Linked DNA regions of Callithrix jacchus. The protein of the gene in region 1 binds, or shares a complex with, the protein of each later gene. Links are inferred from orthologs where the notes say so. Each region holds a gene or a part of one and is shown in the gene's direction. Other genes may lie near its edges. The genes, in order: MTOR and FKBP3.

Evidence for each region.
Region 2: the proteins of MTOR (region 1) and FKBP3 are in contact, whole or in part, in a crystal structure (PDB 5GPG), measured with the Homo sapiens proteins. The link is inferred for Callithrix jacchus from reciprocal best matches to the Homo sapiens genes MTOR and FKBP3. Residues at the interface, in NP_001373429.1 of Homo sapiens: Glu2032, Tyr2038, Phe2039, Gly2040, Arg2042, Tyr2088, Val2094, Leu2097, Tyr2105, His2106, Arg2109; in NP_002004.1 of Homo sapiens: Lys160, Pro161, Leu162, Ser163, Lys170, Tyr198, Lys201, Gly202, Gln203, Pro204, Asp205, Ala206.

The regions. Positions count from the first base shown.
Region 1 is NC_133508.1:49,104,635-49,120,637, reverse strand, and holds part of MTOR (serine/threonine-protein kinase mTOR), read left to right. Parts: intron 1-537; coding exon 538-813; intron 814-898; coding exon 899-1,007; intron 1,008-5,024; coding exon 5,025-5,211; intron 5,212-6,929; coding exon 6,930-7,058; intron 7,059-7,754; coding exon 7,755-7,999; intron 8,000-9,347; coding exon 9,348-9,563; intron 9,564-9,907; coding exon 9,908-10,113; intron 10,114-13,309; coding exon 13,310-13,432; intron 13,433-14,067; coding exon 14,068-14,157; intron 14,158-14,740; coding exon 14,741-14,833; intron 14,834-16,003. UniProt on the Homo sapiens protein: Serine/threonine protein kinase which is a central regulator of cellular metabolism, growth and survival in response to hormones, growth factors, nutrients, energy and stress signals.
Region 2 is NC_133509.1:79,684,489-79,701,166, reverse strand, and holds the start of FKBP3 (peptidyl-prolyl cis-trans isomerase FKBP3), read left to right. Parts: upstream 1-1,774; 5' UTR 1,775-1,799; coding exon 1,800-1,907; intron 1,908-5,501; coding exon 5,502-5,603; intron 5,604-6,383; coding exon 6,384-6,491; intron 6,492-11,676; coding exon 11,677-11,812; intron 11,813-12,319; coding exon 12,320-12,387; intron 12,388-14,924; coding exon 14,925-15,022; intron 15,023-16,678. UniProt on the Homo sapiens protein: FK506- and rapamycin-binding proteins (FKBPs) constitute a family of receptors for the two immunosuppressants which inhibit T-cell proliferation by arresting two distinct cytoplasmic signal transmission pathways. PPIases accelerate the folding of proteins.

The DNA.
Region 1 (16,003 bases):
CATCTTGGCCAGGCTGGTCTCAAACTCCTGGCATCACGTGATCCTCCGGGCTCGGCCTCACAAAGTACTGGGGTTACAGACGTGAGCCACCGTGCCTGACCTGCTTAAGTTTTCACCTGGGTTTCTGGGGAGAAGAAAGAGACCAGACAGTCCTTCACAGGATGCTGGCAGGAGGCCTCCTATCACCTTTGCAAGCCTCATTGCTGTGGCCTAGGTCAGTAGTCACAGCAATATGCAAGTCAGCCCTTCCAAACCAAGTGAGGAGTCCTGGGAGGTGAGAACCCTTGGTAAGGCTGCCCTGTGCTGCCACTTTATTATTCAATGGGTGGTGCTCTTCTGCCTAACATACAACAAAATCAGGTCTCTTGCAAGGTGCTAGGGAAATTATAACCCTAAACATGAAGCGTGGCCACCCTCCACTTTGGAAGTAGTTGCATTTTGGGATTAGGCAAATGTAATGCTCTGTAGACCCGACAGTGCCCAGTTTGAATGCCACTCATAAGTAAAGATGATTTTTTTTTCTCCTCATATATACAGCGTCTGAGAGAAGAAATGGAAGAAATCACACAGCAGCAGCTGGTACACGACAAGTACTGCAAAGATCTCATGGGCTTTGGAACAAAGCCTCGTCACATTACCCCCTTCACCAGTTTCCAGGCTGTGCAGCCCCAACAGTCAAATGCCTTGGTGGGGCTGCTGGGGTACAGCTCTCACCAAGGCCTCATGGGATTTGGGACCTCCCCCAGCCCAGCTAAGTCCACCCTGGTGGAGAGCCGGTGTTGCAGAGACTTGATGGAGGAGAAATTTGATCAGGTAAGTGGTGAGAGGCCCTTTCCCTCTTTTCCCAAGCTCCACACCTCACTTTTCCCCTGCCAACCCTTTATCCTTCCTCTCTCAGGTGTGCCAGTGGGTGCTGAAATGCAGGAATAGCAAGAACTCGCTGATCCAGATGACAATCCTTAATTTGTTGCCCCGCTTGGCTGCATTCCGACCTTCTGCCTTCACAGGTGAGGATGTCCATGGAAGACGTCATTACCCATCTCAGGGTAATTAAACAGGGAACAGGTGATTCCAAAAACCTCAAGTATCTTTTCATTTGAAGCAATGCCAATGAATCTCTGATTTCTTTGCCTTGTGTCCAATTTCAATGATGTTTAGTTCAGATTTTCTGCTAATGTCAGAGGCAGCAGACACAGGAACAATCAGAACGGGTAGGCAGAGAGGCACTTCTAAGGCCAAAAAGTTCACAAATAGACTTAAAAGAGACCAGAGGAAGGGCAATTTTGATGTAGCTGTTGTGCAGTATCTGTGTCAAAGCTCTGTGAGTCAGGAAGGGTTTGGGGATCGTCCTGCTTCTATCCCTGAGGTGGTCACTGAGCTGCCTCACTACTTGCAGGCAGCATGAATCCCTGGCTCCTGAAGCTGGTGGCCCAGCTCAGATTCCAACTTCTCAATGAAGCCTTCCTGGATTGCTCCAGCTATAAATGTCCTTTCCTTCACCCATCATAGCCCTCAGCTGTGGAAAGGTTTGCCATTAGACCTGGGATGAACCCCACCTCCACCCTTAACTGTGAGGTTTGGGACAGATTATTTGACCTACCTGGGCCTCAACTTCCTGACTTGCAGAATCAGAATAACCATTTCTGCTTCCCAAGATGAGCAGCATTAATGCCTAAGCACCAAATATAGTACCTGGCACAGAGTTAGCCCTAATAAATGGAAACCATTATATATTATCACGACCTCTCCTCAAGCTACTTCAAATCTGTTCTGGAAATAAGGTAGAGGTAAAAATCATAATGTTCCAGTTGCCTGTTCGTACTTAATGTCCTTGTCTTACCTCCCTACTTGCTGAGAGTAGATGCCCAGTCTTGAACATCTCTTCCCACTTGACCATGCTGCACGTTGCCCATGCTTAGTGACACATTCGGGACGGCGTGAGAGCCAGGGACATAAGCAGAAGGCCGGCCTGGCCCTTAGCAGACCCTGTTCCCTAGCACACAGACACTTCACGCCACCCAGCCCAGACACACCATGGGAGAAATGTAGCTGGTGAGGTGTTAAACATGCTGTGTGAAAGCAGTAGAACATGTTGGGTGAGGACATGACAATTAGCCACGTAAAACCACTGAGCCAGAGAGAAATAACAGAACAAAAACCACCCATGTTTTGTGTGTTTCTATTCTTCTGGCCTGGCACCCAGCAGCTTTTCTCTTTTTTAATGACCAGAGAGGCTGCTGTTCTGTAGAGCTTTAAATGATCTTGGATTGAAAGTCTGTGGTTCAAAAGGAACTAATAACTAGGACAAATTTTATCAAAGTCTGGCACTATAGAAGCAGTGACCCTTGGAAGTTCAGAAGGCTGCCTAGCAGCAGAATGCAAAGGCTCAGAGGGCCCTGGATCTCTGTGTGTTGTTTTTGCTCTGTTTTTTAAGGCTAGTCAAGGTTGTTTTATTAAACACACTAAAATAGGTCAGTGACATTCAGCCTGGACACCCCTACAAGTATATTCTTTGCTTAGAGCTTGCAGTTTGGAAGTTAATTCTTAAACTTATCAATGGCGTAAGCTTTAGGAATATAAAAAATACTCCAGGAGTGGACTGGAATCTCTAGTCAGATTTCTAATCTCTCAGGATGCTAAATCTAGAAAAGAAAATTATACTCTCTTGGGTTTTTTTTTGAGGCAAGGTCTCGCTATGTCTTCCATGCTGAAGTGCAGTGATGTGATCACAGCTCACTGCAGCCGTGACCTACTGAGCTCAAATGTTCCTCTCACCTCAGCCTCCCAAGTAGCTAGGAACACAAGCATGAGTCTCCACACCTGGCCGATTTTTAAAATGTATTTTTTGTAGAGATGGGATTCTATTATGTTGCCCAGGCTGGTCTTGAACTCCTGGGCTCAAGCAATTCTCCCACCTCAGCCTCCCAAAGTGCTTGGGATTACAGACTTGAGCCACGGCACCTGGGAAAGAAATTACACTCTTGATTTTAGCTCATTTCCTGCTGAAATGCTATCCCCCTGGTTTTTCTTGTTGATCCACTCTAATTTTAGGGTTGTATCACCTTGGTCACCTGTCTTCAAGCCCCAGCATGCCTCATTGTCATTTGGCCACAAGAGCTATGGGAGAAGACATTTCTCCGAGTAGATGCAGTGATGATATGTGCTGCTTTAGGAGTCTAATTTATTGTCTACATGTGGTTCTGGTAGCTTTCAACATCCCTGACTTCCTAAGGGATGTGTAGTTTTGCCTTCTCTCCTATTTTATGTATGCTCCTGCTGCCTGGACTTGGGACCAACAGCAATGGAGGAGAAGAAATAGAAGAGAAGCAAGAATCAGGAAATTCCAGCCTTCAGAGGAGAAATAACACATTAGCTTAAATTGCATGAGAATCGCCTCCCTATGCACACTGGCTTATGTAAACTTAATGAAAATATACATGTGGCTTTCCGAATTGCAGACTAAATCTTGTTCTCTTAAATATAACTGTCACAAAAATCTCTAGGTAATAGCAAAATGATTTCCAGGCCTAAGCTAAATGAAATGGCCTGTTTATCGCTAACACTGCTCAGTGTTATAGTCATATATTGCTTAGTGATGGGAATGCATTTTGAGAAATTTGTCCTTAGGAGAATTTGTCCTTGTGTGAACACCATAGAATGTATTTACATAAACCCAGATGGTATAGCCTACTCTACACCTAGCTCTGTGGTATAGCCTATTGCTCCTGAGCTGCAACTTGTACAGCATGTTACTATAATGAATACTCGGGGCAACTGTAAAACAATGATAGATAAATGTGTTTCTAAATGTATCTAGACAAAAGATATGCAAAAATATACTGTGTCATAATCTTGTGGGACCACCATCATATATGTGGTCCACCATTGACCCAAACACGGTTAAGTGGCATATGACTGGACTGTTTGTTTTTTTTTATTTGTTGGAGATAGTCTTATTCTGTCGTCCAGGCTGGAGTGCCTGGCTTTTGGCTCACTGCAGCCTCAAACTCTTGGGCTCAAGTGATCCTCCTCAGCCTCCCAATGTGCTGGCATTACATGCGTAAGACACTGCATAATGTAAAATTGTTTAGGTGATCCTTTGTTGTTAAACAAGGTTTGACATATATTCCTTAAGCAAGAGTGTGTAATTCTTGTGTCAAAGTGTAACACTAATGGAGATAGTTACATGATACTGTTTTGATGACCTTTTATTATGTTTTTTGTTTTTTTGGGTTTTTTTTTGAGACTGAGTCTGCTTTGTTGCCAGGTTGGAGTGCAGTGGCATGATCACGGCTCATTGCAACCTCCGCCTCCCAGGTTCAAGCAATTCTTCTGCCTCAGCCTCCCAAGTAGCTGGGACTACGGGGATCCACCAATATGCCTGGCTACTTTTTGTATTTTTAGTAGAGATGGGGTTTCACCATGTTGGCCAGGATGATCTCGATCTCTTGACCTCGTGATCTGCCCGCCTCGGCCTCCCAAAGGGGTGGGATTATAGACATGAGCTACTGTACCCGACCCTTTTTTTTGAGACAGGGTCTTGCTTTGTCACCCAAGCTTTGCACATAATCACAGCTAACTGCAGCCTCAACTATCTGGTCTCAAGTGATCCTCATGACTCAGCCTCCTGAGTAGCTGGGATTACAGGCATGCACAACCACACCTGGCTAATTTTTTATTTTTTATTTATTTTTCTTTTTTTCAATTAATTCAAGAAAGAGATGTTAACAAATACTTTTTATGTTCTGCTTTCCATGTTGAAGAAAGTAAAAAAAAGTATAATAATTTTTATTTTTTGTAGAGACAGGATCTTGCTATGTTGCCCAGGCTGCTTTTGAACTCCTAGCCTCAAACAATCCTCCTACTTTGGCCTCCCAAAGTGCTGGGATCACAAGCATGAGCCACTGTGCCTGGCCACTTTCTTAATTTATTCATCAACTGAATTGCTACATAGGACCTTGACTGTTAATGTGTGGCCCTTAACCCTGACCTTGAATTATCTACTTTGTCTTTTCTGTGCTCAGATACCCAGTATCTCCAAGATACCATGAACCACGTCCTAAGCTGTGTCAAGAAAGAAAAGGAACGTACAGCAGCCTTCCAAGCCCTGGGGCTACTTTCTGTGGCTGTGAGGTCTGAGTTTAAGGTCTATTTGCCTCGTGTGCTGGACATCATCCGAGCAGCCCTGCCCCCTAAGGACTTCGCCCATAAGTAAGCACCTCTGTTATTTCACCTTCCACTCCATTTGGTTGGAGAGGAAGGATGCTCCATTCCAGATCCACAGAGCTTAACCCCATTTTATGCATCATTAAACTCCAGGGTATCGCAAATCGTATGAAGAATAGCCCTTTCCAGGTTGAATTCTAAGCTCTTTCAAATGAAATAACATATATAAATATTTGGGGAGGTTGAAAACCATGAGAACATGGTAGATGCCAATGCTATTTTCAGTGTTACTATTTACTGGGAATCTACTAGTTTTGCTTTTTTTCTCTGGCTTTTAAAAGTCATATTTTGATATAAGACCTAAAGAGAGGAATACTTGACTGGAACTGAAGGGACCTAAGGGTCATCTTTTTCCCCATTGCTGAAGTTGAGTAAGTTATTCTACCCCTTTAAACCTTCTGGCAAATATAATATGAGAAAAGCCCTCAGCTTCCTGCCAGATGGAGAGGCCAGGGTGTCTTCGCTAAGGCGAGGGGGTCAGTGTTCATCATCTTTTGTCTCAGGATTGTGTCTTTATACTTCCCTGTTTATTAGCAAGGATTGCTGTAGTGAATTAATATGTGCCACTCATTCTTTTTTTTTTTTTGAGATGGAGTCTTGCTCTGTCACCCAGGCTGGAGTACAGTGGTGTGATCTTGGCTCACTGCAACCTCCTCCTGGATCCAAATGATCCACCCACCTCAGCCTCCCAAGTAGCTGGGATTACAGGCATGCACCACCATGCCCAGCTAATTTTTGTATGTTTTTGTAAAGAAAGGGGTTCCCCATATTGGCCAGGCTGGTCTCAAACTCCTAGCCTCAAGTGATCCATGCAGTCCCAGCCTCCCTGGGACTACAGGTGTGCATTACCACGCCAAGCTAATCTTTTTTTTTTTTTTTTTTTTTTTTGAGACAGAGTCTCCCTCTGTTACCAGGCTCCAGGCTGGAGTGCAGTGATGCGCTCTTGGCTCACTGCAACCTCCACCTCCCGGGTTCAAGCAGTTTTCCTGCCTCAGCCTACCTGGTCCCTCCTGGGACCACAGGCGCACACCCTAATTTTTATATTTTTTGATAGAGACGGAGTTTCACCATATTGGCTAGGATGGTCTCAATCTCTTGACCTTGTGATCTTCCCGCCTTGGCCTCCCAAAATGCTGGGATTACAGGCATGAGCCATCGTGCCCAGCCTAATTTTTGTATTTTTAGTAGAGACGGGGTTTCACTATATTGGCCAGGCTGGTCTTGAACTCCTGACCTCTGGTGACCCACCCACCTCAGCCTCCCAAAGTTCTAGGATTACAGGTGTGAGCCACCGTGCCTGGCCCCATTCCAAAGCCCAGCATTCTCATCATAGAATAATTTCTTTCTGTATGATGGCTGTGTGCTGCCCTCTTGCCCCTCATGAACACATTGTTCAGCTTGCTTCCTACATAAGTATCTTGGTGAGCACCACACTAACTCATATGGTATTGCTGTGTGAATTCAGAAAAAGGGCATCTTCCTTAAGACACTTTACTGCCATCTGCTGGATTGTTGTGGAAATATACAAATCTACAGTAATTGTGATGTGATGGGCCCTTTTGAACTGTGCTGTGGACAGCCTGCACACCTGTGTATGGTAGTCCTGCCTGAGTAACCTGGTCTCCTTGCCCCAAAGTGATTTTGAGGTGGGACGTTAAAAAATGTCATTATGTTTCAACTAGTCACTGTCTGTTTCTCTGCAGGAGGCAGAAGGCAATGCAAGTGGATGCCACAGTCTTTACTTGCATCAGCATGCTGGCTCGAGCAATGGGGCCAGGCATCCAGCAGGATATCAAGGAACTGCTGGAGCCCATGCTGGCAGTGGGACTAAGGTGGGTGTCAGAAACCTGAGCTTGCCCTGTATCAGTGTGAGGTTTGGTCCGCAGTGTTGGGACTGGGTTAAAAGAGGGAGGCATGGTTGTTTGCACATTCAAAATGTGTTTTGCTTAGACAAAACACATAGGCTAGTACTGAATCCTAGTTTCATCACTAGCTAGCTATGTGATCTTGACTAAGTTATTTAATATCCCCGAGCCTCATTTTTTTTTATCTGAAAAGTGGGTACAGTAGTAATTCCTGTTGTCTAAGGTTGCTGTGGATTCATGATACAGTCATTCTTAGGACCATGCCTGGCGTATAGGAAATGTTCAATAAATATTTACAAATATTGTTTATATTATTATTAGGCAAGTTGCTTAAGCTCCCTAAACTATAGTTCTTTTCATCTGTAGAATAAGGACAGTGTTCTTGATCTGCTTGCCAGAGTGTTTGTTGAGTCTTGGTATTCTGTAGTGGCTGAATTATAATGAGCAAGTCTTCCTGTGGCAAGAACCAGAAACTCATAGATTGTTTAGAGACCTGAGACTAAGCAAAGAGAGTTTACACATTTATTCTCATTTCATAGTATCCTTTCTACTCTAAAGAACAGAGGCCTGATCCCCTTGCTGGGAGAGAAAGGCTGTTTCTTCCCAAGAACAGACTGAGTGTCATGTGCTCAACCCTTATGTGACTGGTTTCCTTCCCTTTAGCCCTGCCCTCACTGCTGTACTCTATGACCTGAGCCGTCAGATTCCACAGCTAAAGAAGGACATTCAAGACGGGCTACTGAAAATGCTGTCCCTGGTCCTTATGCACAAACCCCTCCGCCACCCAGGCATGCCCAAGGGCCTGGCCCATCAGCTGGCCTCCCCTGGGCTCACGACTCTCCCTGAGGCCAGTGATGTGGGCAGCATCACTCTTGCCCTCCGAACACTTGGCAGCTTTGAATTTGAAGGTAAGAAATTACAGTGGCTCTTGTCAACATAGTGAGAGATGCTGGAAACTTTGGGAAAGGAATGAAGGTATCTAGGATTCCTGGATCTTGCCGGGGTCCTAGAGACAGGGTAACTGATTCTGTAGCAGCTCATCCTTCCTAGACTCTTTCCATGTATTGGTAATTCCTATTGTTTGTTTCTTGTCCCATTCTGAGTTTTGGGGCAGTTGGTTTGAGGGAAAGTACACATTGATCCAAAGAAATAATGCTTCAGAGACAGATCCCCCTCACATCCTCACTTTTCTACTTCCTTGTAGCTGAGATGGTATGTAATGATTTAGAATGTATAACAAGGGCTTTTGGGTGTTTCCATGTCTATAGCAGTATGATTTCTTTTTTCTTCCTTTTTTTTTTTTTTTTTGAAACAAAGTCTCTTTCTGTCACCCAGGCTTGTATGCAGTGGCACGATTTCAGCTCACTGCAACCTCCGCCTCCCGGGTTTAAGTGATTCTCCTGCCTCAGCCTCCCAAGTAGCTGGGACTACAGGCACGTATCACCACACCCGGCTAATTTTTGGATTTTTGGTAGAGATGGGGTCTCACCATGTTGGCCAGGCTGGTTTCGAACTTCTGACCTCAAGTGATCTGCCTGCCTCGGCTCCCCAAAGTGCTGGGATTACAGCTGTGAGCCACTGTGCTCAGCTAGCGATATGATTTCTAAAAGTACTTTATTGTGTAGTTCTAAACTGCAAATAAACCCACTAATACCCCACAGAGGTATATTTCAAGAGAAAAGTTCATACTTTTGAAATTTAAGATCATGTAGGTAGTATTGGTCAAGACTGGGGAAACACGCACAGAAAGCCTGAAGATACTGTCTGGAGACAGCCACCTGTGGTTTCTCTATTGCAGTTCCTCCGCTTACACTGATTCACACTTGTGATAATTTATTTCTAGTGAATAGAAAGTAGCTATGCTTAAACCCAGCTTACGTAGACTCTTTGTCTGGTATTTAGATCTGGGAACCAAAACAGGCAAGGTAAATTTGACAAGAATTGCATTACCCTCTGAGAATGGTAGGGGTTGAGTTGGAATAAAATGAAATAATTTATTCTTTGAAGGGAATATAAAAAGGCTAGGGTTGAGAGATACTTTTTATCTCTCCCTGTTCCCTCACCACCCCCTTTTGCCTTTTGCTGATTGAAAGTCCACTTGTTATCCTTTAAGAATTCTGGGTCAGTATCATTGATCAGTATCTGGTTGAAAGTAGAACTAGTAGCCTCAAAATGGAAAATTCACCTAGCAAACTGCAGACCTGCCTGTCCACAGCAGCAGTGTTTATTCTGTTTTCTCTCTGCCTTTCTATCCAGGTCACTCTCTGACCCAATTCGTTCGCCACTGTGCAGATCATTTCCTGAACAGTGAGCACAAGGAGATCCGCATGGAGGCTGCCCGTACCTGCTCCCGCCTGCTCACACCCTCCATCCACCTCATCAGTGGCCATGCTCATGTGGTTAGCCAGACTGCAGTGCAAGTGGTGGCAGATGTGCTCAGCAAACTGCTCGTGGTTGGGATAACAGATCCTGGTAAGGCTTCTGAGACAGAAGCCATCTAGGGGAGTTTAGGAGCTTAGGGCAGCTGGAAGTAGCCAGTTTCATCACATGGCCTCTCCAGAGATCTTCGGTCTCAACAAGTTGATATTCAGCTATTTCTCTGCCACGGTGTTAGGCGTGGCTACTCCAGCCTGTTGGTGTAAGATAATGTCTTTAATTCATTTGTCTTTACTCCTATGAGTAGAGAAAAGAATGACAGAGGATAGATGAGAGAAAGCATCTGGAATCTTCCCACTATGCTGATAGCAGTGGAGGTAGAGAAGGGCTGGAGTGATGGGGTCATGAAGAAATGTTCAAAGGCTCCATTGCTCTTGCAGACCCTGACATTCGCTATTGTGTCTTGGCGTCCCTGGATGAGCGCTTTGATGCACACCTGGCCCAGGCGGAGAACTTGCAGGCCTTGTTTGTGGCTCTGAATGACCAGGTGTTTGAGATCCGGGAGCTGGCCATCTGCACTGTGGGCCGACTCAGTAGCATGAACCCCGCCTTTGTCATGCCTTTCCTGCGCAAGATGCTCATCCAGGTAACCGGGATGATGGTCAGACCCACAGGCAGGGAGCACAGGATTCTCACTGTGAGAGCTGCTTGAGGAAGCAGAGTTGAGGACAAGGATGGGGGAGAAAGATTGAGGTACCTGGGAAAAGTCACCTTTGTCTGCAAGGGTTCACATGTTTCCCTGGCTTTATAGTGGCAATTCCAGTGCTCATCACCTCATGAGCCTTTTGTTAGTATGAGTCCCCTCATGCAGCTCTTTATTCTTCCTGGCAACTCAGTCACCAGTGATCCCATTTCTTGGCCCTCTTTGCTTGCTGGCTTGATCTGCTGCAGATGGTGTCAGACTTCCCAGTGCCTCCCTGTCCTTCCACTCTTCTGCTTTCCTTGTTGGTGCCAGGTCAAGCATGGCGGCCATTGTTCTGCAGAAGAATAACCAGTGTGAGACCATTTCCACTATGTGTTCTAATAGTCATTGCCTCATTCTGTGATCCTGGCTTTTGTTCTTAAATAATGTGAGAATGCCAAGCTCAGCTGCTTGGTCTATAGCCTAAGATAGATTTAGGTTGGCCTTGCTACTAGATCCAGTGGGATTTTTAATTCCTCTTGAGACATGGCTCCTGAATTTTTGTCTTCACCTACCTGAGTAAGTTTTGTGGCCTCCAGGTGAGCAGTACATGGTCCAGTCCTGCCTGGCGAAGTTATTTCCACCTTCCTCTTCTGGTTCTCTGTGTGGCTCACCCACTCATTTCCAGTCCCTGTTGCTCGCTGTCTGCTTCCTGACCCTCCCTTATGGTTTCTTTCTAAGTAAACACTTTTTATAACATATATGGAACTTAAACATAGAAAATCATTAATATATGTAACTCACTCTAGAGAAATGTTGTTCACAATTTGTCATAAAGTGGCTATAAATTATATCATCAATCAAATTAGAAAGTTGCACTTATGTTGGCACCTCTATTTTTAGCCTAAAGATTTATTTAACTGTTGGCCTGTGTTAGAAGTGCCTGTCATTTTAAGTCTTTAAAAAATTCCTCAGTCTTAGGAAGGAATAGAAATCATCGTTAAAGGCCAGGCGTGGTGGTTCACGCCAGTAATCCCAGCCTTTGGGAGGCCAAGGCAGCCAGATCACCTGAGGTCAGGAGTTTGAGACCAGCCTGGCCAACATGGTAAAACCTCATCTCTACTAAAAAGAAAAAAAATTAGCCAGGCATGATGGCAGGTGTCTGTAATCCCAGCTACTCAGGAGGCTGGTGCAGGCAGAATTGCTTGAATGCAGGAGGTGGGGGTTGCAGTGGGCCAAGGTTGTGCCATTATACTCCAGCCTGGGCGACAGAGTGAGACTCTGTCTCAAAAAAACAGAAATCACTCTTGAGCCTGCTAGCTCAAGTCATGCTAAATGAATTTGGCATAGAAATATCTCCTAAAAGGCTGAGTGCAGTGTCTCATGTCTGTTATCCCAGCACATTGGGAGGCCAAGGCAGATGGATCAAATGAGCCCAAGAGTGATGAGACCAGCCTGGGGAAGATGATGAACTGCGTCTCTGCGAAATATACAAATATACACCAGGCTGGGTATAGTGGTGCATACCTGTAGTCCTAGCTACTTGGTGGCTGAGGTGGGAGGATTACTTGAGTCTGGTAAGTTGTGGATACAATGAGCCATGATCGTGTCACTGCACTCCAGCCTGAGTGACAGAGTGAGACCCTATCTCAAAAAGGAAAGAAAGAAAAAAAAAGAAATACCTCCTAATGTTTGAGCACATATATGTTCCAGGTACTTGTGGGCACTGGGAATATAGCAGTGAACAAGCCATGCATGGCTCCAATCTTCTTGAAGCTGACATGAAGCTATCAGGCCATCTCATTTTTTTCAATATCAAAGAGTATGAAACTCCTTTGAATGAATTTACTATGTACTGAATTTAGCCCTTGAAACTTTACTCTTTTTTCTTTTTAAACTTTGATATAGATTTTTCTAAATTGAGTTGTACATTTTCATGCCTTAGTAAAGGCTTTGGCGTTTTGTTTTGAGACAGGATCCCTCACTCTGTTGCCAAGGTTGGAGTGCAATGTGGGATCTTGTCTCACTGCAGCCTCTGCTTCTTGGGCTCGAGCAATCTGCCCATCTCAGCCTCCCAAAGTGTTTAGATTACAGGCGTGAGCCAGCTTTGACCTTTCCTTGAGGTCTTAGTCATCAGGGTGGACATTGGTTATGTTATTAGGATGCAGTGAGGCTCTCGGGCTCTGGAAGTGAACCTGGGGTTCTTTGGGTTGGCCCCACACTGCTGCAGCTAGTTGGGCTCTGCTCCCTGAGGCACATTTCTTCGCAGTCACCCATGTCTTTTTGCTGCTGCAGGTCTGTTCTCAGTATCCCCTTTCTTTTCCCTGTGGTCTGCTATGACTGGGGAAACAGGCTGCCTAGGGAATCCAGCAAATCAGGTAATTAATTCAGTAAGCTGAGACAAAATGTAATGTTAAATTGTAGACTCCTCTGGGTAGCTGAGTTAACCTGAACTCTGTGACATCTGCTTTTCTCACTGCTCAGCGACTTCCTTCTGGCAACTTTAGCTATCCAGAAATCTGGATAGTCCATATTATGCTGTCTCTGTCACCGTGAGCATAATGTGCTGATTTGCTGGTGTTGTAAGGATCCAGTCAGTAAGGCTTCAGGGGATCCTACTGATGTGATCCCTACCTATTGAAGTTTATCTAGATATGCCCTAAACAGCTATAGAGTATCAACACTTCTCTCAGCATCATAGCTGTTCTAGCTTTTCTTTGATTCCTTTGCTATTATTTGTAGTCCTTAGTAATTTGCTGTCTGGACAAATATTTTTTGTCCCAAGGGGCCCTCCCTTCATTCCTCATTTTTATAGGACCCTACCCTACTCCCAGCTCTCTCTGTTGGGTTTCGTAGTCTTCTCTGGCTGTGCTACACTGTTAAAAGCTGTGCTTTAGAGAGGACTGTGGGACCTTGGAGTGCTGTGATAAAAGGAAAGGGGGAAGGTTTTCAAGTAGTTTTTCTTCCTGTTGCAGCTGTATCTGAGGCTGTTCTGATAGCTGTAGAGATGTCTGTTGCTCATTGAGTATCTAGCAGCTATTTCATCTGTTCTGGAGGTCTGGATTTTCCCCCTAGTTCCCTGCCAGGTTTTCTGTTTGACACAGTCTCTCTCTAGAATGTCTTCTGCGGTAGAGAACACATGAGCCTTTCTTCCCTACAGATTTTGACAGAGCTGGAGCACAGTGGGATTGGAAGAATCAAAGAGCAGAGTGCCCGCATGCTGGGGCACCTGGTCTCTAATGCCCCTAGACTCATCCGCCCCTACATGGAGCCTATTCTGAAGGTAACATAAACTGAGAGGCTGGCACTTTCTTTCTGCATTGTCTTATATCAGTTCATGTGGGGAGATGGGAGTGTTTCAGTGCTCATTAGTACACTGAACAAGGTAGATGATTTCTTGGCTCCCGTGCTTGGAGACCAAAGGGTCATATCAAGCACTTTCAGATAGAGAATACCAAGAACCTCATCAGTCACAGGAAAGTGCTCTCCTTATAAGAGGTAAGAGATAATGCTTCAGGCACATCATCACAGGTGTTTGGAAGGGAGAAGCAGGTGGAGAGTAGCATAAAATAGCTCTTCCAAATGAGGAAAAAATGATCTTGAAAATCTGAAACAACCTTCAAATCTGAACACGTTAGAGTCATGTGAAGTCCTTTTTAACATATGTGAATCTGGATGAGCGATCACTGAGAGATACAGTTTAGAGGAGATGTGAGAAATACTTTAATGTCATGGTGCTTCCTAGCTCTATGGAGAAAAGTTTGAGAATTTATCTTCCAGAGAAATCTTGGATTCACAAAGCCTAGAAGGAATTTATTTATGACTGAGATGGTCTCCTGGGTGAATTTTACTTATATAAAAGAAAGGTTTCTAGTGGAGTCTAACCTGCATTCATTTTCTCATAACTTCTTTCCCTAGGCATTAATTTTGAAACTGAAAGATCCAGACCCTGATCCAAACCCAGGTGTGATCAACAATGTCCTGGCCACAATAGGAGAATTGGCACAGGTAAAGGGACAGCTGCTTTTTCCATAGGGTGGAAAGAAACTCACCTCTAAGGAAGTCAAAATACTTTTCTTTTTTTTTGAGACAGTTCCACTCTATCCAGGCTGGAGTTCAGTGGTGCAATATCAGCTCACTGCAACCTCTGTCTCCTGGGTTCAAGCTATTCTTGTGCCTCAGCCTCTCAAGTAGCTGGGATTTCAGGTGTGTGCCACCACACCTGTCTAATTTTTGTATTTTTAGTAGAGACGGGGATTGACAATGTTGGCCAGGCTGTCTTGAATCCTGACCTCAGGTGATCCACCCTCCTCAACCTCCTGAAGTGCTGGGATTACAGGTGTGAGCCACTGTGCCTAGCCTCAGAATACTTTTTTTTTTTTGAGACGAGGTCTCACTCTGTTGCCCAGGCTAGAGTGCAGTGGCACGATCTCAGCTCACTGCAACCACTGCCTCCCAGGTTCAAGCGATTCTCCTGTCTCAGCCTCCCGAGTAGCTGTGATTATAGGTGTGTACCACCACACCTGGCTCAAAATACTTCTTAATGTCATAGTTTCTAACCCTATCTACCACCCTCTTTTTCATCTTGCAGGTTAGTGGCCTGGAAATGAGAAAATGGGTTGATGAACTTTTTATTATCATCATGGACATGCTCCAGGATTCTTCTTTGTTGGCCAAAAGACAGGTGAGTATTACTGCTTCCTGATTGAGTGAGACAGACTCCATGAGCCTGGGAACCTTGTTTCTCTTTATTCTCCTCAGTGTCCTCTGTCAGTACCTAGCACAGAGTGGGACACATAGTAGGTGCTCAAAAATACTTGTTGAATGAGTAAAAAATAGAATGATTTGGAACCAGAATTACCTGTTATTTTGACCCAGACTCAGTTTTAGTAAGTATCAAGGCTGACCAGTGCCATTTGTCTATACAGAAGAAAATGCAGGTCACTTATCAGAGCCCCAGCTATCAGAGGGAAAAAGAAAGCCTTGGCCACTGCCTTTGAAGGAATAGAACTTCAGCTCATCCTTGCCCGGCCCTGGTTCTGCTTTCCCAGTTTGAGGCTATTAGATGACTAGACTAAAATTAAGAGCAGTTTTAATTTCTTTCTGTGTGTGGTAGCTCACACCAGTAATCCTAGCATTTTGGGAGTCTGAGACAGGAAGATTGCTTGAGCTCCGGAGTTTGAGATCAGCCTGGGCATAATGAGACTTTGTCTCAACTAAAAAAAAAAAAAAAAAATGGCTGGGCATGGTGGCACGCGCCTATAGTCCTAGCTACTCAAGAGGCTACTCAGGAGGCTAAGATGGAAGAACCCAGGAGATTAAGGCTGCAGTGACCTGTTATCACACCACTGCATTCCATTCTTTTTTTTGAAAGAAAAAATAATATTTTATTTTTATTTATTTAATTTTTCTTTTTTCTTTTTTTGAGACAGGGTCTCACTCTGTTACCCAGGCTGGAGTGCAGTGGTGTGATCATAGCTCACTGCAGCTTCAAACTCCTAGGCTCAAGCAAGCCTCCTTCCTTGGCCTCCCAAAGTGCTAGAATTGTAGGTTTGAGCCACTGCACCCAGCCAATATTTTTATTTCTTTTTTTTTTTATCTTTATTTTTTTATTTTTTTTTATTTTTTATTGCATTTTAGGTTTTGGGGTACATGTGCAGAACATGCAAGACAGTTGCATAGGTACACACATGGCAGTGTGTTTTGCTTCCTTTCTCCCCTTCACCCACATTTGGCATTTCTCCCCAGGCTATCCCTCCCGAGCTCCCTCCCCACCGCCGCTGGCCCTCCCCTTTTCCCCCCAATAGACCCCAGTGTTTAGTACTCCCCTCCCTGTGTCCATGTGTTCTCATTT
Region 2 (16,678 bases), on another chromosome or scaffold:
TCTTGCAGAGCAGGGGTAACTCATAAGCAGCATGCCCAGAGTAAGCCTAATTTTTTTTTTTTTTTTTTTGAGACGGAGTCTTGCTCTGTTGCCCAGGCTGGAGTGCAGTAAGTAGCACATCTCGGCTCACTGCAACCTCCGCCTTCCAGGTTCGAGCGATTCTCCTGCCTTAGCCTCCTGAGCAGCTGGGATTACAGGTGCGCCCCATCACGCCCAGCTAATTTTTCTATTAGTAGAGACTGGGTTTCACCATGTTGGCCAGGCTGGTCTCGAATTCCTGACCTGGTGATCCTCCCTCCTAGGCCTCTCAAAGTGCTGGGATTACAGGCCCGGCCAGAATTTTTTTTCTTATGTAAGGAGTCCTGATGTTCAACTATTAAATCTTTATTACACATAAGAGCATTATAATAAACGTCGGTGTGCAATTACTCCACTCTAACGAAGATTTCGATCTCAGTCAATTCCTAACTTCTTCTCTCTAAACCTGACAACTTTGAGTAACAGCTGTAAATGTTTCCTTGCGTACTGAAAAAATATATATACATCACAGAGTTACGAGCATTAATAATGTCATTTTCATTAGCAAGTGACATCCTGAGTGCAGCTTCTTTAGAAATTGTTTTGTTCAAGTTTCTGAACTTCGTTTTATACAAACTTTCTCGTGTCTGTATGTGGGGAAGGGGATGAGCAGTTTGTATTTAAGTTTCAGTTGTGTGATCTTTTTTTTTTTTTTTGAGACGGAGTTTCGCTCTTGTTACCCAGGCTGGAGTGCAATGGCGCGATCTCGGCTCACCGCAGCCTCCGCCTCCTCGGTTCAAGCAATTCTCTCGCCTCAGCCTCCTGAGTAGCTGGGATTACAGGCACACGCCACCATGCCAGCTAATTTTTTGTATTTTTAGTAAAGACGGGTTTCACCATGTTGACCAGGATGGTCTCAATTTCTTGACCTCATGATCCACTCGCCACGGCCTCCTAAAGTGCTAGGATTACAGGCGTGAGCCACCGCGCCAGGCAGTTGTGTGATCTTTAAAAGGCCGGGCACGGTGTCTCACGCCTGTAATCCCAGCACTTTGGGATGCTGAGGCGGGCGGATCACGAGGTCAGGAGTTAGAGACCAGCTAGCCAACATAGTGAAACCCCGTCTCTACTAAAAATACAAAAATTAACCAGGTGTGGTGGCGTGTGCCTGTGGTCGCAGCAACTTAGGAGGCTGAGGCAGGAGAATCGCTTGAACCGGGAGGTGGAGGTTGCAGTGAGCCGAGATCACGCCATTGCACTCAAGCCCTGGCAACGGTGCGAAACTCCGTCTCAAAAAAACAAAAGGGGAGGAGAGATGGTGTGTTTCCTGATCGACAAGGACTGAGCCAGTTTAGGTGTGAATTTTTAGAATAGAACTAGATAAAACGAGATGAGGAGCCCATTCAGGGGCTTTCTTTTAACAGGTAATAGACTGAGCTTTAAAGCCATAGTTGCCATAAGCAATAACAGTGAGTAATGGCTGATAAATGTCGCTACCATCATCGGCCGCTTCACAGCGGATATAATTCAGAATTAAGGACCACTAGCGGTCTTCAATTCGGTGAACTGCTGAGACCACTGCGGTAGGTTTTTTAACCCGGACCCAACAAAGAAGCCCACATAGCACAACCTTGACGTCACTCAAAGACAGGTCCCAGTCCCGACTGCTAGAGCAGTGACCCGCCCCTCGACTTCCGTCAGGGGCCACGCCACGCCTCAGGGGGCGGGGCGATGCCGAACTGCGGCGGGCTGGCTCAGTAAAGCAGAGGCGGCGGGGGAAGATGGCGGCGGCTGTTCCACAGCGGGCGTGGACCGTGGAGCAGCTGCGCAGTGAGCAGCTGCCCAAGAAGGACATTATCAAGTTTCTGCAGGACCACGGCTCAGATTCGGTACCGGAGGCGGAGGGGCGGCCGGGCTGGTGCGGCTGAGGGACGCCTCACCCCCCTGGAGATGCCCATACATTCCGTATTCCTCTGTGCCTCCGCCCTCGTCTTCCCGCGGCCGGTGGCCGGGCAGGCCGCAGCGGCCCAGTGTGCGCCTCAGAGCCTAGCTCCCGCCCCTCGGCGTGCCCTACTGGGGCGGCGGAGCAGCTTTATTTCTTGGGGCACACGGGTTGGCAACTGTGGAGTTAGGACCTCATTGGGATCCTTGAGTAGGGGTGGAGGCCAGAAAAAAAGGGACCCGAAGATATTGGGGATTAGGGCGGGGAAGCCGAGGAATAGTGGTGTGGATGAGACTCCTGGGAGCGGGGCGTCGGCTACTAGGGAAAAAGGGATGTGAAGATTTCTATGGGAACGGTTATCCAACTTAACTTTTCTCAACAATTTACTAAATACTTAATATTAATGCGAGTGATTTTTTAAAAATCCGTAGGTTGTGGTTTACGTTTTGGTTTAACATACCGACCCTTTAATGACCTTCTCACCTTTATACTTTCAGGGAGGTACGTGCACATTTCTCTTGTGCAGTGGTCTCCCATTGTTATAAACAGATTAAGAAATTTATTTGAAATTCTTTATACTGTATGCTCTCCATTGTCAGCATAGTCTCCATCTTAACCATATGTCTATAGTGAAGTTATTTTTGTTTTTTTTTTTTCCTTTGGAAATTAAGATCATTCATGTGTCTCTTAAATTGCTGAGATAGTTGTGCACGCCGCATTCTCCTCTGACAAGTGGCAGACTGCTTGTGTTTTCTATACAATTTTAAAAATTCCTAAACTTTAATTTAGAAAAATTGTTTCTGGGTTTTATTTTTGAGCTGGAGTCGAGCTGTTACCCAGGCTGGAGTGCAGTGGAGTGATCTCGGCTCACTGCAACCTCAGCCTCCTGGGTTCAAGCGATTCTCCTTCCTTAGCCTCCCAAGCAGCTGGGACTACAGGTGCGCGCCACCACGCCCAGCTAACTTTTTTGTATTTTTTTTTTTTTTAATAGAGACGGGGTTTCACCATGTTGGCCAGAATGGTCGATCTCTTGACCTCGTGATCCGCAGGCCTCGGCCTCCCGAAGTGCTGGGATTCAGGCTTGAGCCACCACGCCTGGCCTTAAGTTTTTTGTATTTTTAGTAGAGACAGGGTTTCACCATATTGGCCAAGGTGGTCTCGAACTCCTGACCTCGTGATTCACCCGCCTTGGCTTCCCAAAGTGCTGGGATTACAGGCGTGAGCCACCGTGAGGAGATTATATTTTATTTCATTTTGGAAGGGTGTCTTGACAGGGCGATATAAGAACTCTCCAACTTCCAGTTCCTTCTTCCTGAATCATTATCCTGGCAGTTGCATCTTAGATTAATGTAGTAAATATTAATACAACATCTGTAACAAAACCTATTCTCAATGTTTGGAGGTACAAGAGCGAAAAAGAAAGAACATGCATCGGGGAGCTTACCCCATTTTAAGCTATTTTTTCTTAAGCTAATTAATATTTCATCTGAAACAATAGAATAGACATATCATTAACATTTATTAATCCCTTTGTCCTGTACTTCATCATAGTCTTATGAAACAAATCATGCCAATGTGGAATCGAATGTAAAACTGGGCCACTTGGGACAATTTAAACAGACTTGGATTATCAAAAAAAAAATTTTTTTTTTTTTTTGAGACGGAGTTTCGCTCTTGTTACCCAGGCTGGAGTGCAATGGTGCAATCTCGGCTCACCGCAACCTCCGCCTCCAGGGTTCAGGCAATTCTCCTCTCTCAGCCTCCTGAGTAGCTGGGATTACAGGCACGCGCCACCATGCCCAGCTAATTTTTTGTATTTTTAGTAGAGACGGGGTTTCACCATGTTGACCAGGATGGTCTCGATCTCTTGACCTCGTGATCCATCCGCCTAGGCCTCCCAAAATCCTGGGGTTACAGGCTTGAGCCACCGCGCCGGCCCAAAATGTTTTTATAACATAGTAATCTTTTAAACCCACAGCCTTGGCCAGGCGTGGTGGCTCGTTTCTGTAATCCTAGCACTTTGGGAGGCCAAAGGGAGCAGATCACTTGAGGCCAGGCATTCCAGACCAGCCTGGCCAACGTGGCAAAACTTCATTTCTACTAAAAACACAAAAAATTAGCTGGGCATGGTGGTGGGCGCCTCTAATGTCAGCTATTCGGGAGGCTGAGGCAGGAGAATTGTTTGAACCCAAGAGGTGGAGACTCTTACTGTGTGACAGACTCTATGCTAAATGCATCAAATGGATTGTTACATTTTTATTCTTAGAGCAACTGTTTGACATAGATGCTATTATTAATCTTCCATTACAGATATGGCTGAGTCTTGTGGTTTTTTTGTTTTGTTTTGTTTTTCTGGGAGAGGGAGTCACACTCTGTCGCCCAGGCTGGAGTGCAGTGGCACAATCTCCGCTCACTGCAACTTCTGCCTCCCAGGTTCGAGCGATTCTCCTGCCTCAGCCTCCCTAGTAGCTGAGATTACAGGCGCACACTGCCATGTCCATCTGATGTTTTGCATGTTAGTAGAGACAGGGTTTCACCATGTTGGCCAGGCTACTCGCAAACTTCGGAGCTCCGGTGATCCACCCTCCTCAGCCTCAGGGCGAGGCTGAGTCCTTAGACAGGCTTAGTCCCCTTTGTAGTATCAGACAGCTAGGATTTTTTTTTTTTTTTTTTTTTTTGAGACAGAGTCTCACTCTGTCACCCAGGCCGGAGTACAGTGGCGCAATCTTGGCTCACTGCAACCTCTTGCCTCCGAGGTTCAAGCAATTCTCTTGCCTCAGCCTTCCAAGCTAGGACTACAGGCATACGTCACCATGCCCGGCTAATTGTATTTTTAGTAGAGTTGGGGTTTCGTCATATTGGCCAGACAGGTCTCAAACTCCTGACCTCAGGCGATCTACCAGCCTTGGCCTCCCTCCCAAAGTACTGGGATTACAGGTGTGAGCCACCGTACCTGGCCCAAAGAGGTAGGATTTTAACCTAGGTAATATGATTCCACAGCCCATACACCTAGCAATTGTGTGTGTGTGTGTGTGTGTGTGTGTGTGTGTGTAATGTTAGGTATGGTTATCTCAACATATCTGTGTTACCTGCTTGTATAACAGTGAGTCTTCCTAGTCTCCCAAGAATAGGTTACAGATGCCTCAGGATAGCTATGCCCAACCTGGCTGGAGGCTCTCAAAGGCTGCACCCAAGTATCCTCCTGCAGTGAGCAGCTGCCTCAAGTCACCACAGTGTGTTTGCTGTATAAATGTTATTTTTTGTGGCTGCGTGACTGGGAAAAGGTTAAGACGAACCACTCTGTCCAGTACATAACACTGCATTCCAGTCTTGTGAATAATTCTTATAAATATCCAATTTTTAAAAAATCTATCTTACATTTTTTTGTAATGAAATAGAGTATAAACTATAGGTTTTTTTCTTCTTCGATACTAGTACTATTGAAAATACAACTGCTAACATAAAAAGGTCACATTTTCTAATTTTAGACATTTCTTGCTTGAGATAAGTTATCTTGATTACCCAGCTTTTTCCCTTATAGTTTCTTGCAGAACATAAATTATTAGGAAACATTAAAAATGTGGCCAAGACCGCTAACAAGGACCACTTGGTTACAGCCTATAACCATCTTTTTGAAACTAAGGTGAGTATTGTTAGATTCTGTTAACAGAATAACAGAACTTTTGAAATTGTACTTCCTAAAAGATGTTTAGAATGCATTTATTTGCTGAATGTGTTGGAGCTTCTTCACCTGCAGTTTTTTTGAACCATTATCATAAATGGACTAGCTGTCAAATCTAGCAAGGCTAATCAGGAATATGGCAGAATGTTTCGTTATTTTCAAAGGGTTTGGATTTTGTAGCTTAAATTGAGACAACAAATTCTTAAGGCCACTAGTTATATATTCATTAGGGCAGTGGTATTTCCATACTTTAGCATATGGTATATATTAAATTTTTTGTTTTATTATATAAAATGTTATACAGAAAATGTTTCCATTTCACTAATGAATTTAAAGTCTGGTTTAGATTTAAGCTGAGCATTTACAAAAATAAATTTTAAGATATTCTCCCATATTTGTTCACTATGAAATGAGTATCTTCCATAGGAAAAAAATCTTTATTCAGTAGTTATTTGAATAGTATTTATATCTCTGGGTATGAGTTGGCCTTTCTAATGTCATGGTTCTCATTTCAGAATTTATATTGTAAGCTGGTTTGAAAGTAATAATTTATGTTTAAAATAAATTATGAAAAAAAATTTTTCTTTGTTCTTAATTTTCCTTAGACCATTTATTCACAATTGTATTATATAACCTATATTTATTGTGCAGATGTTCATTTAATTGAGAGGCTGAAAATCTTGATGTTATTCCTTGGCTTTAGCCTGTCCTGAATATGATGTTAGAACATTTTCCTTACAGCGTTTTAAGGGTACTGAAAGTATAAGTAAAGTGTCTGAGCAAGTAAAAAATGTGAAGCTTAATGAAGATAAACCCAAAGAAACCAAGTCTGAAGAGACTCTGGATGAGGTCTGTATATACTATTTTCTTATTTTATCATGTGGATTCTAAAAATTGTATTTATTTCTTTATTATTTGCACTAATTTCTCATAGTGAAGGGTGGTTGAGTATGACCACTTTCAATGAGCCAAACAGTTAGTTGGAGTGTGCCATTTCCCTTAGGGACAGAAATAATCCTAAGAACTAGTGCTTTACAGTTATTAGCCTATCCTGTGAAATACTTCTGACATTGTATTTATTATTGCTGCCATAGGTGGCAGACCTTCTGAGCTTTTGAAGCTATTTTAAGACTTGATTCTATAGCCAAGTTGGACTAAGTGGAATAAACTTTCTTTTGATTATTTTTAGCTGTTTCTAATGTACGTGATGTCCCTGGCAATAGAAATAATCCAGGCTTGGCTGCAGGATGTGGGTTCATCTGTCTCAGCTTTCCCAACTCAGGTTTTATATTTTGGTACAAAGGTTTAAAGAAGCAGATTCATTCATTTCTGCAAATTGACAGCCTTAGTAGAGCTAAGATCAGCTGCTAAGAACTAACTTAGCAGAACTGAATAGATTATAATCTTGTCATTTCTGATCATATGTAACTAAGCTCACTCATTGGCTCACTCATTGCTAGCAGTCTTAGTATCAGTGATAATAATCTATTAGTTCTTGTAAAGAGTTGTAGCCTCTTTACAACTCTTGACAATTGATGACAGTGTTGTTTTTGGATATTTGTGGAAAGTATAAGTTCAATTATACAGTTATAGATGCTTATTTTATTAAAGCTAGTTAATTTTGCATGATTTTTTTCCTATTGGCTAAAAAGCACAAATTAAATGATTGTGGGTATATGTGCATATAAAGCAATTTTAAAGTTTATCACAATTGCCAGGCGTGGTGACTCAGGCCTGTAATCCCAGCACTTTGGGAAGTTGAGGTGGGTGGATCATCTGAGGTCAGGAGTTCGAGACCAGCCTGACCAATGTGGAGAAAGCCCTACTAAAAATACAAAATTTGCTGTGCACAGTGGTGCCTGCCTGTGATCCCAGCTCTAGGGAGGCTGAGGCAGGAGAATCGCTTGTAGCCGGAGGTGGAGGTTGCAGTGAGCCAGGCCTGGGCAACAAGAGCAAAACTCTGTCTCTAAAAAAAAAAAAAAAAAAAAATTTAAAAAAGTTTTTAAAAGTTTATCACAATTAATATTTGATAAATATTATATCTAATGACTAGCTACTAAGGTAAATTGAGCAATTATTATTGAAGGGTTTCAGAAGCAACTGGTAACATAGTTTGCCTTCCAGAAAATTAGAATGAGGGTGGTTTTAGGAGACAGTATTTCATTAAGGAGCTAAAAAGTTACAAATAAACTAAATGGCAAGTTCATAAGAGCTAGAGACAATCTAGAGAGATCTTATGAGGGTCCTAAACTATATCATTTTATTTAAAACCTCTTCATTTAACTGGCCAGCTTGAGCCCAATTATGTACTGTGTCTGTTTTCCTAACACCCTAGATTCAAAAGCCTCTTGTCTATTCCCTTACTAACCCTTATTGTCTATTTTGTCTTCATGCTTTGGGACTAGAGAGCAGGCATTATAAACATATAATCATAAAACCTTTTATTGAGCCTGGTATAAACTCATGCTTAATATTAGCCAAGCATGTTTTCTAGTTTCATTGCTACTCAACAACATTTATGCTATCCTTTCCCTATTCTCTATCACATTGCTCATTGCTTACATAAGGTATGTGACATTTTTTCACAAATTTTTACTCACCTTTTTTTTTTTTTTTTTTTTGGAGACAGTTTTGCTCTGTTGCCCAGGCTAGAGTGCAATAGTGCCATCTAGGCTCACTGCAGCCTCCACCCCCTGGGATCAAGTGATTATCCTGCGTCAGCCTCCCTAGTAGCTGGGACTACAGGCATGTGCCAGCACGCCTGGCTGATTTTGGTATTTTTAATAGAGACAGGTTTCTCCATGTTGGCTGAGCTGGTCTTGAACTCTTGACCTCAAGTTACGTGCCCACCTCAGCCTTCCAAAGTACTGGGATTCCAAGCGTGAATCACTGTGCCTGGCTTCCCTTCTCATTATATGTTCCTGTGTTCTCTTTTACCAAAATGTGAACGTCTAGCTATTGCCATTCCCTTCTTCCCAGCTTAAAAGTTCTCTGAATCTTTGTCTCACTTTTCCTTTCTCATGTCTCCTTCAGGACTAACGCTATCAAACATCATCTTTTATTTTAACTGTTCATTTTTTTTTTTCGATTTTCAAGCATTCTAAGCAAGACCTCAGACCTGGAAGGTTAGAAACGTTACATTTTAATTAGTCACCACTGGTCTTCAATATATATATATCCAAATATTTTATTCTTGGCATTCAAAGCCTTCCAAAACGTGGCCACTGCTAAATTCCATATTCCATGTTTCTATAGATGTATTCTTGGCCTGGTGCAGTGGCTAACGCCTATTATCCCAGCACTTTGGGAGACTGAGGCAGGTGGGTTGCCTGAGCCTCTAAGTGAGCCACGAAATATTGAGATATTTTACAGTGATGTGATCACTCCAGCCTCGGCAACAAGACCCTGTCTCTTAAAAAAGGAAAAAAAAAAATGCTGGGTGCGGTGGCTCACGCCTGTAATCCCAGCACTTTGGGAGGCAGAGGCGTGCGGATCAAGAGGTCAGGGATTCAAGACCAACCTGACCAACATGACGAAACCTGGTCTCTACTTAAAAATACAAAAATTCACTGGATGTGTTGGTGTACACCTATAATCCCAGCTACTTCGGAGGCCAAGGCAGGAGAATTGCTTGAACCCGGGAGGCAGAGGTTGTGGTGAGCCAAGAGCATGCCATTGCACTCCCGCCTGGGCAACAGAGCAAGACTCCATCTCAAAAAAATAAAGGGAAAAAAATTATTAAAAATAATTTTTTTTTTTTTTTGAGACCGTTTTACTCTTGTCGCCCAGGCTAGAATGCAGTGGCAAGATTTTGGCTCATTGTAACCTCTGCCTCCAGGGTTCAAGCAATTCTCCTGCTTCAGCCTCCTAAGTAGCTGGGATTACAGGTACCCACCACGACACCCAGTCAATTTTTGTATTTTCTGTAGAGACGGGGTTTCACCATGTTGGCCAGGCTGACCTCGAACTCCTGACCTCAGGTGATCCACCCACCTGGACCTCCCAAAGTGCTGAGATTACGGGTGTGAGCCAGTGCGCCTTGCCGATTGAAATATTTCTATGCTATGTGCACCTGTTCTACTGAGAAGGTCATGGAAGAGACAGGAGTTCATAGGGCAGTAGAATTCTGGAGCTTCAGGGAGTGATAGATTAAGATCCTGCATGGTTTAGGCCTTTGGATATAGAACTATAAGCAGTAATTATTAACATCACTCTAGCAATTGAGTAGACGACTGAAGGTGTCAGAGATAAACACAATTGGACATTAAAGTGGTAAAAACATTTTTTTTTTCAGTCTATTGACAGTAGGGGAAAGAGCTGAACTCCTATCTCATGTATGGAGAGGTAACTGGGTCTTTTGAAACAATGAGGGAATAGGGAGGGATTTAAGTTAGGGAAGTGAAAAATTACAAAAAGCAGGAAGTGGGAGTTGATCCATACGAAACCTATCTGAGTTTGCTAACTGGTGCTTATCAGAGTTAGGCTCCCACAGACTGAGAGACGGGTCCTTTCTTCATCTTCAGGTGTTGCCTGAAACAAAAACAGTAAATTTTTTTGGCAGCCTTAGGTGGGCACTTTAAGGAGGGATCGGGTCCTCCTAGGAATAAGGCCTTGAGCTATTTGAAACTTGTGTGTTTGTTCACATCTTTATAGGCCAAGGTTGAGGCCTTGTGAAGAAGAGGGCTCAGAGGAGCCTAGCTAGAGTTTGGTGAGGGAGAGAATCTTTTGTCAAGAGGTAGACTATTTTGCAAGATCAGACTTTTTTTTGAGATGGATTCTCACTGTTACCAGTGGCACCATCTTGGCTCACTGCAACCTCTGCCTCCTAGATTTAAGTGATTCTCCTGCCTCAGCCTCCCAAGCACCTGAGATTACAGGCGCATGCCACCACACCTGGATAATTTCTGTATTTTTAAGAGAGATGGGATTTTACCATGTTGGCCAGCTTGGTCTCGAACTCCTGACCTCAAGTGATCTGCCTGCCTTGGCCTCCAAAGTGCTGAGATTACAGGCGTAAGCCACTGTACCCAGTATGGATTTTTTTTACTTACAAGTTTTGGAAAAGGATAAAAATCCTAGGTAGGGAAGTGAAAGTGAATAAAAGTTTGCATGACTTGCCCAATTAGAAATAGATCAGAAATAAAGAAAATACTGTTCCTCTTGCTTTTCAAACTCGGGAACTAATAGATTTGAAATATTTGATATCCAACCACACCTTTGTTATTTTATGAAATTTAGAAACCACATACAGATTTGGATAATGCAGATCTCTCTGAATTTGGTCTGAATTCAGAAACCAAATAGATTTAGGTAAAGAGGATACTTTTAAATTCGGTCCATCTCTTTTTTTCTTTAACTTCCTTAGATTCTTGACAGTTAATCTCTCTGCTTTCCTCTCATATATGAATTACTATTGATAAAATTAATCTGTAACTTTTTTTTTTAGAAGACCCTGATAATTTTGCTTTGTTCTAGGAAATATGCCTGTTAGGGCAATTTCATTAGGTAATTTCATCCATTGTGTGAACTTATTTTTCAAATCAGGGACACAGGCAATATCACTGTATTCATTCTAATTGGATATAATAAAAACACCTAGTAATATCAATTATTGCTGCTAAAACAGTTAAAATCTTTGTGGGGGAAAGTTACCATCCCTTATTGTAATGCCTTATGATTTTATAAAAATTAAATAGTAATTAAAAAAAAAACTTTAGGAAATAACTGAAATCATTTTTTGGTTTGCTGAATAATTAACAATCTTGTTAGAAGAATTTTGGCTTCCAAAGAAGCTGGAAGTTTTTTGTAATTAAATTATAGATGTTTAAGTTACATGATATTCATATCACAGCCTTGAAATGAGACACTGAAGTGTTTTGTTTTTTTAAGTCATAGAGGTGGACTAGATGGAAAACAGTTTATTACCAAATCTATCAAACTTTTTAAACTGACTTTGGTCATTGTTGGCTATTGTTTGTCATTCTTCTAAAAGACACAAATTAACAACTGTGTGTATGTTGTTTTTTGTTTTTAGGGTCCACCAAAATATACAAAATCTGTTCTGAAAAAGGGAGATAAAACCAATTTTCCCAAAAAGGGAGATGTTGTTCACTGCTGGTATACAGGAACACTACAAGATGGGACTGTTTTTGATACTAATATTCAAACAAGTAAGTCTAAATGTAATCTTAGTTTTTAGCTTAAAGACATTACAAAATACTTGGGTGGCAGATAGATGAGTAGTTAGCCTTTTTCTTAACTGTCAGCTACTTTTATCAAGATGTACTTTTCCCCAAGAACTACTTGGAAGAGGTCTTCAGTTCACTGATTATTGGCTGGCTAAAGACCTCTTGTTCATTGGAAAGCAAAAAATAAGGAATTTCAGTCTAAACCTGGTTAATGTCCCAAAGTAAGGCTTTAGTATTTGAATAGAAAAGGCAGGATAGTATGCTGTTTTGTGATATAAGCATAGGTCCTAACCCTCTACCCTTTGATAAGAATATAATTATTTTTCAGCTAGAATGTTATTGATGGATGACCTGGCTTTGTAAATTTTTCTTTCTTTCAAAATACATAGTATTGTAATTCTGAAATCAAACCAGTATATTTTTTCCATTGGAACTCCATTTCTTAATAATAGAGTATATCATTAATTATAAGGAAAATCTGTTTTACAGGTGCAAAGAAGAAGAAAAATGCCAAGCCTTTAAGTTTTAAGGTCGGAGTAGGCAAAGTTATCAGAGGAGTAAGTAAAGAATGCCAATGAATCAGTAGATATTCTGGCACATGTTGTTTGTGGTATGATGCCATAAAGAATTAGGCTTGGGGATATAATAAAAAGGAAACAGACCTTGGAGTCTGACAGACTGGGTATAATCACTGCTAGCTGATCTTGTACAAGTTGTCTGGGTCTGTTTTTGCTACCTATAAAGTGAGGACAGTACTGCCTACCTCAAGGTTGTTAGAAGATTAAATGAGTGTAACTTAAGCAACTAATACAGTAGGGGCTTAAATGTTAGTCCCTTCCATGTGTACCCCTTTTATTGTTTTCCTTCATACAGTCAGTCTTTGTCACAGTGTTTGGCCCTCTAAATTTGTCTTTAAGATTCCTATATAATGTTTTATAACTATTGTACCATTTACATATAATTGGGGAAGGTAAAATATGTTCCATTTTAGTACTCATAGAAGCAGAGTTTGTTTCTGAAGCCTGTTCACTTCATACAGCATAGACTGCAATACCAGACAATTGTTCAAACATAAGCATGCTTTAACCTAACTTACATGCTTTTATCTAACTTATAAGTGATAGATAACAGAAGGAAACTCAGAAAAGGGGAAGTTAGGCTTGACCTGTATTGACCATTATAGTGTACAGAAGAAGATAAAAGAGCAGACTGACTGTCACCTTCTATGAATCAGGCTTTCATGCTAGGCCCATTGTTTGCTTTAAATTGTTATTCTCAGAACATCAGACATCAATAATTGAAATGCCTATTTAAATGCAGTTATAAGAACCTTCAATATATTACTCTCTGTACTATCGGTAGGTCCTAAGATATGGTTCAGACAATCATATACAGAATATAAAACATCTTAGCCAGGCACCACGGCTCACAGGGAAGCTGAGGCGGGTGGATCACCTGAAGTCAGGAGTTCAAGACCAGTGTGACCAACAAGATGAAACCTTGTCTCTACTATAAATACAAAAATTAGCCAGGCATGGTGGCAGGCACCTGTAGCCCCAGCTACTCGGGAGCCTGAGACAGGAGAAATGCCTGCCTGAACCTGGTAGGCAGAGGTTGCAATGAGCTGAGATCACGCCACTGTACTCCAGCCTGGGCAAGGGAGCAAGACTCTGTCTCAAAAAAATAAAAACATAATTGTATCTTCCTTTACCAAGTTGATAGCAAGTATATATCTAATTGGGCCATTTTTCTATTTCTGTAACTTACTTGCATATTGGTAAATTTCTTCTAGTCTTCCATATTCTTTTTATTTTGAGATGGAGTTTCGCTCTTGTTGCCCAGGCTGAAGTGCAGTGGCGCGAACTTGGCTCACTGCAATCATCTTCTGGGTTCAAGCGATTTTCCTGCCTCAGCCTTTCCAGTAGCAGGGATTGTAGGCATGCGCCACCTCACCTAATTTTGTATTCCTAGTAGAGACAGGGTTTTACCATGTTGGTCAGGCTGGTCTTGAACTCCTGACCTCAAGTGATCCACCCACATCAGCTTCCCAAAGTGCTGGGATTACAGGCATGAGCCACTATGCCCAGCTAGTCTACCATATACTTAATGTCCAAATGTGACCAGCCTAACTTTGTCCCTTGAGCTTTAAATGATTGTTGCATTTCAACAGTGTAATATTAGGAATATTACCCTTGTGGTCATGTCGCTTTAACTGTTTTTTTGGCAACTAACTTTAAAATCCAAATTTGAAAAATATGGGGAGGCCTACCCAGAAGCCTTTTACTGAATTTCTTTGAAAAGTTAGTTTTACCTTTTGCAAAAGACCCTAGTGCCATAACATTTTAAAAATTGTATTTTATGTAGCAACATGAATCTATTACAATGTGGTAATCTTAAGACAATTTTAGTTGAATACTTGCCAGTATATTCCAGTAAAAATAAACTCTCAAGTTTGCCCTGTAATGTAAAAGTGTAGCAGATTTTTTTATGATGATGCCAATAACAAACTGGTTTTAATAATGTATGGCATGTTAAGGTTTACAAAAAGTTTTTTTTTTTTTTTTTTTTTTTTTGTGAGACAGTCTCACTCTGTTGCCCAGGCTGGAGTGCAGTGGCACAATCCCAGCTCCCTGCAACCTCTGCCACCTGGGTTCAAGTGATTCTCCTGCCTCAGCCTCCCAAGTAGCTGGGATTACAGGCACCCCCCCACACACACACCCTGCTAATTTTTGTAATTTTAGTAGAGATGGGGTTTCACTATGTTAGTTAGGCTGGTCTTGAACTCTTGACCTCAAGTGATCTGCCTGCCTCAGCCTCCCAAAGTGCTGAGATTATAGGTGTGAGCCACCACAGTCGGCCCCAAAAAGTTCTTTTAATATTTAAAAAGCCCTCCTTAAAATACCCTTATTTTTTTCTATTGAAGAAATGGAAGACAAAGATTTAGGGATTCACTGAAGTACATTACCTTAGAATATAGTGAAATCCAGTAATAGATTCTGTGTTTGTTTTAACATATAATCTTGTCTTGACTGCCGTAGTATTGCATGTGCTTTTTGCAAAATACCATTAGTTTTTATTTTGTTCTTGCCTTTAGTGGGATGAAGCTCTCTTGACTATGAGTAAAGGAGAAAAAGCTCGACTGGAGATTGAACCAGAATGGGCTTATGGAAAGAAAGGACAGCCTGATGCCAAGTATCCTTTTTTCCCTTCATAATTAAAGGAAAAAAAAATAATCTCAGGATCACATGAAGATGTGAAAGACGCTGTCTAGGTGAACTTCTAGGTGAAGAATCCTGTCCAGACTATTTAGATGTGTATGTATCAGCACCTCCAACAGACAACAGTATTTTCTATTGGGATAAAGTTCAAACTTCAGCTAGAATCTTTTTTTTTCCCTCTTATTCAAAATCTTAACTTTCAAGACCTTAACTGTGAAGTTTATACTTAAAAGGCAATTACTAATGTTTTGAAGAGTTTAAGAAGTTACAATGCCAGTACAAACTGTAGCAAACTAGGGTGCAAATATGGTTCATAGTTAATTTTATGGTACAGTATAATTTCAGGCAATTAAATTCAAAGCTTAGAAATGGAATAGATGTGGAAGATTACCAATTGTGAACTGAAGGAGATCACAGAATCAACACAGTGTTAGTGTAAGCATTTATTATTACTACTAATGACAATACTCACTGAGAAGTCCAGTTTGAACATTAAAAAAAAAACAAGGAGTGACTCCAGACCATTAAGACCAGACCAATCCAATAGCTAAGAGGGAAGGTGGTTGATGGCTTTTGTTGGTTCCATTCCCCTTGGACCCGGTTTAAGTTTGAAAAAATTCTATTGGCAGCATTCTATCATCTTATCAGATAAACACATTTGGGAATATAATAGCTCCCTTAGCTTTTCAAAATCAAATGGCCAGGATGGGCGAGGTAGCTCACACCTGTAATCCCAGCACTTTGCGAGGGTGGATCACCTGAGGTTAGGAGTTTGAGACCAGTCTGGGCAACATGGTGAAACCCAGTCTCTACTAAAAATACAAAAATCAGCCAGACGTGGTGGCACATGCCTGTAATCCTAGCTACCCTGGAGGCTGAAGCAGGAGAATCGCTTGAACCTGGGAAGCGGAGGTTGCAGTGAGATATGATTGCGTGACTGCACTCCAGCTTGAGCGCAAGAGTGAGACTCTGTCTCAAAAAAAAAAAAAAAATCAAATGGCCAGCTGCAGCTCCCTCTCCCATGTGAAGAAGGATTTGAAGACCAATCTGATGCACATATAAATTATGTAACTCTGAGGTTAGCAGTTTTTTTCTTTGTTTGTTTTTTGAGCCAGGGGTCTGACTCATCCAGGCTGGAGTGCAGCAGCACAATTTCGGCTTGCTGCAACCTCCACCTCCCAAACAGTTCTGCCTCAGCCTCCCTAGTAGCTTAGGGACTACAGGCATGCACCACCACGCCTGGCTCATTTTTGTATTTTTAGTAGAGATGAGGTTTCACTGTGTTAGCCAGGCTGGTCACAAACTCCTAACCTCAGGTGATCTACCCACTTCAGTCTCCTAAAGTGTTAGGATTACAGGCATGAGCCACCGCACCTAGCCTTGAATTTAGCATCTTAAAATGCACAGTAAAAGTTACATACTACCTCATAAAAATTTTAATACAGCATATTTTTTTCCCAGCTAGAATGGTATTACTTTTTTTTTTGAGTACTTAATAGTCTTAATTAAGTGGTAGCTAATTTAGGAGTACTTATAAAGCATCCAGGTAAGGATGATCCTAGTCCTAGCTAAATTTATCTAGTGAGCCTATCTAATCAGCCTATTCTGATAGATTATGATCCCCATTTAT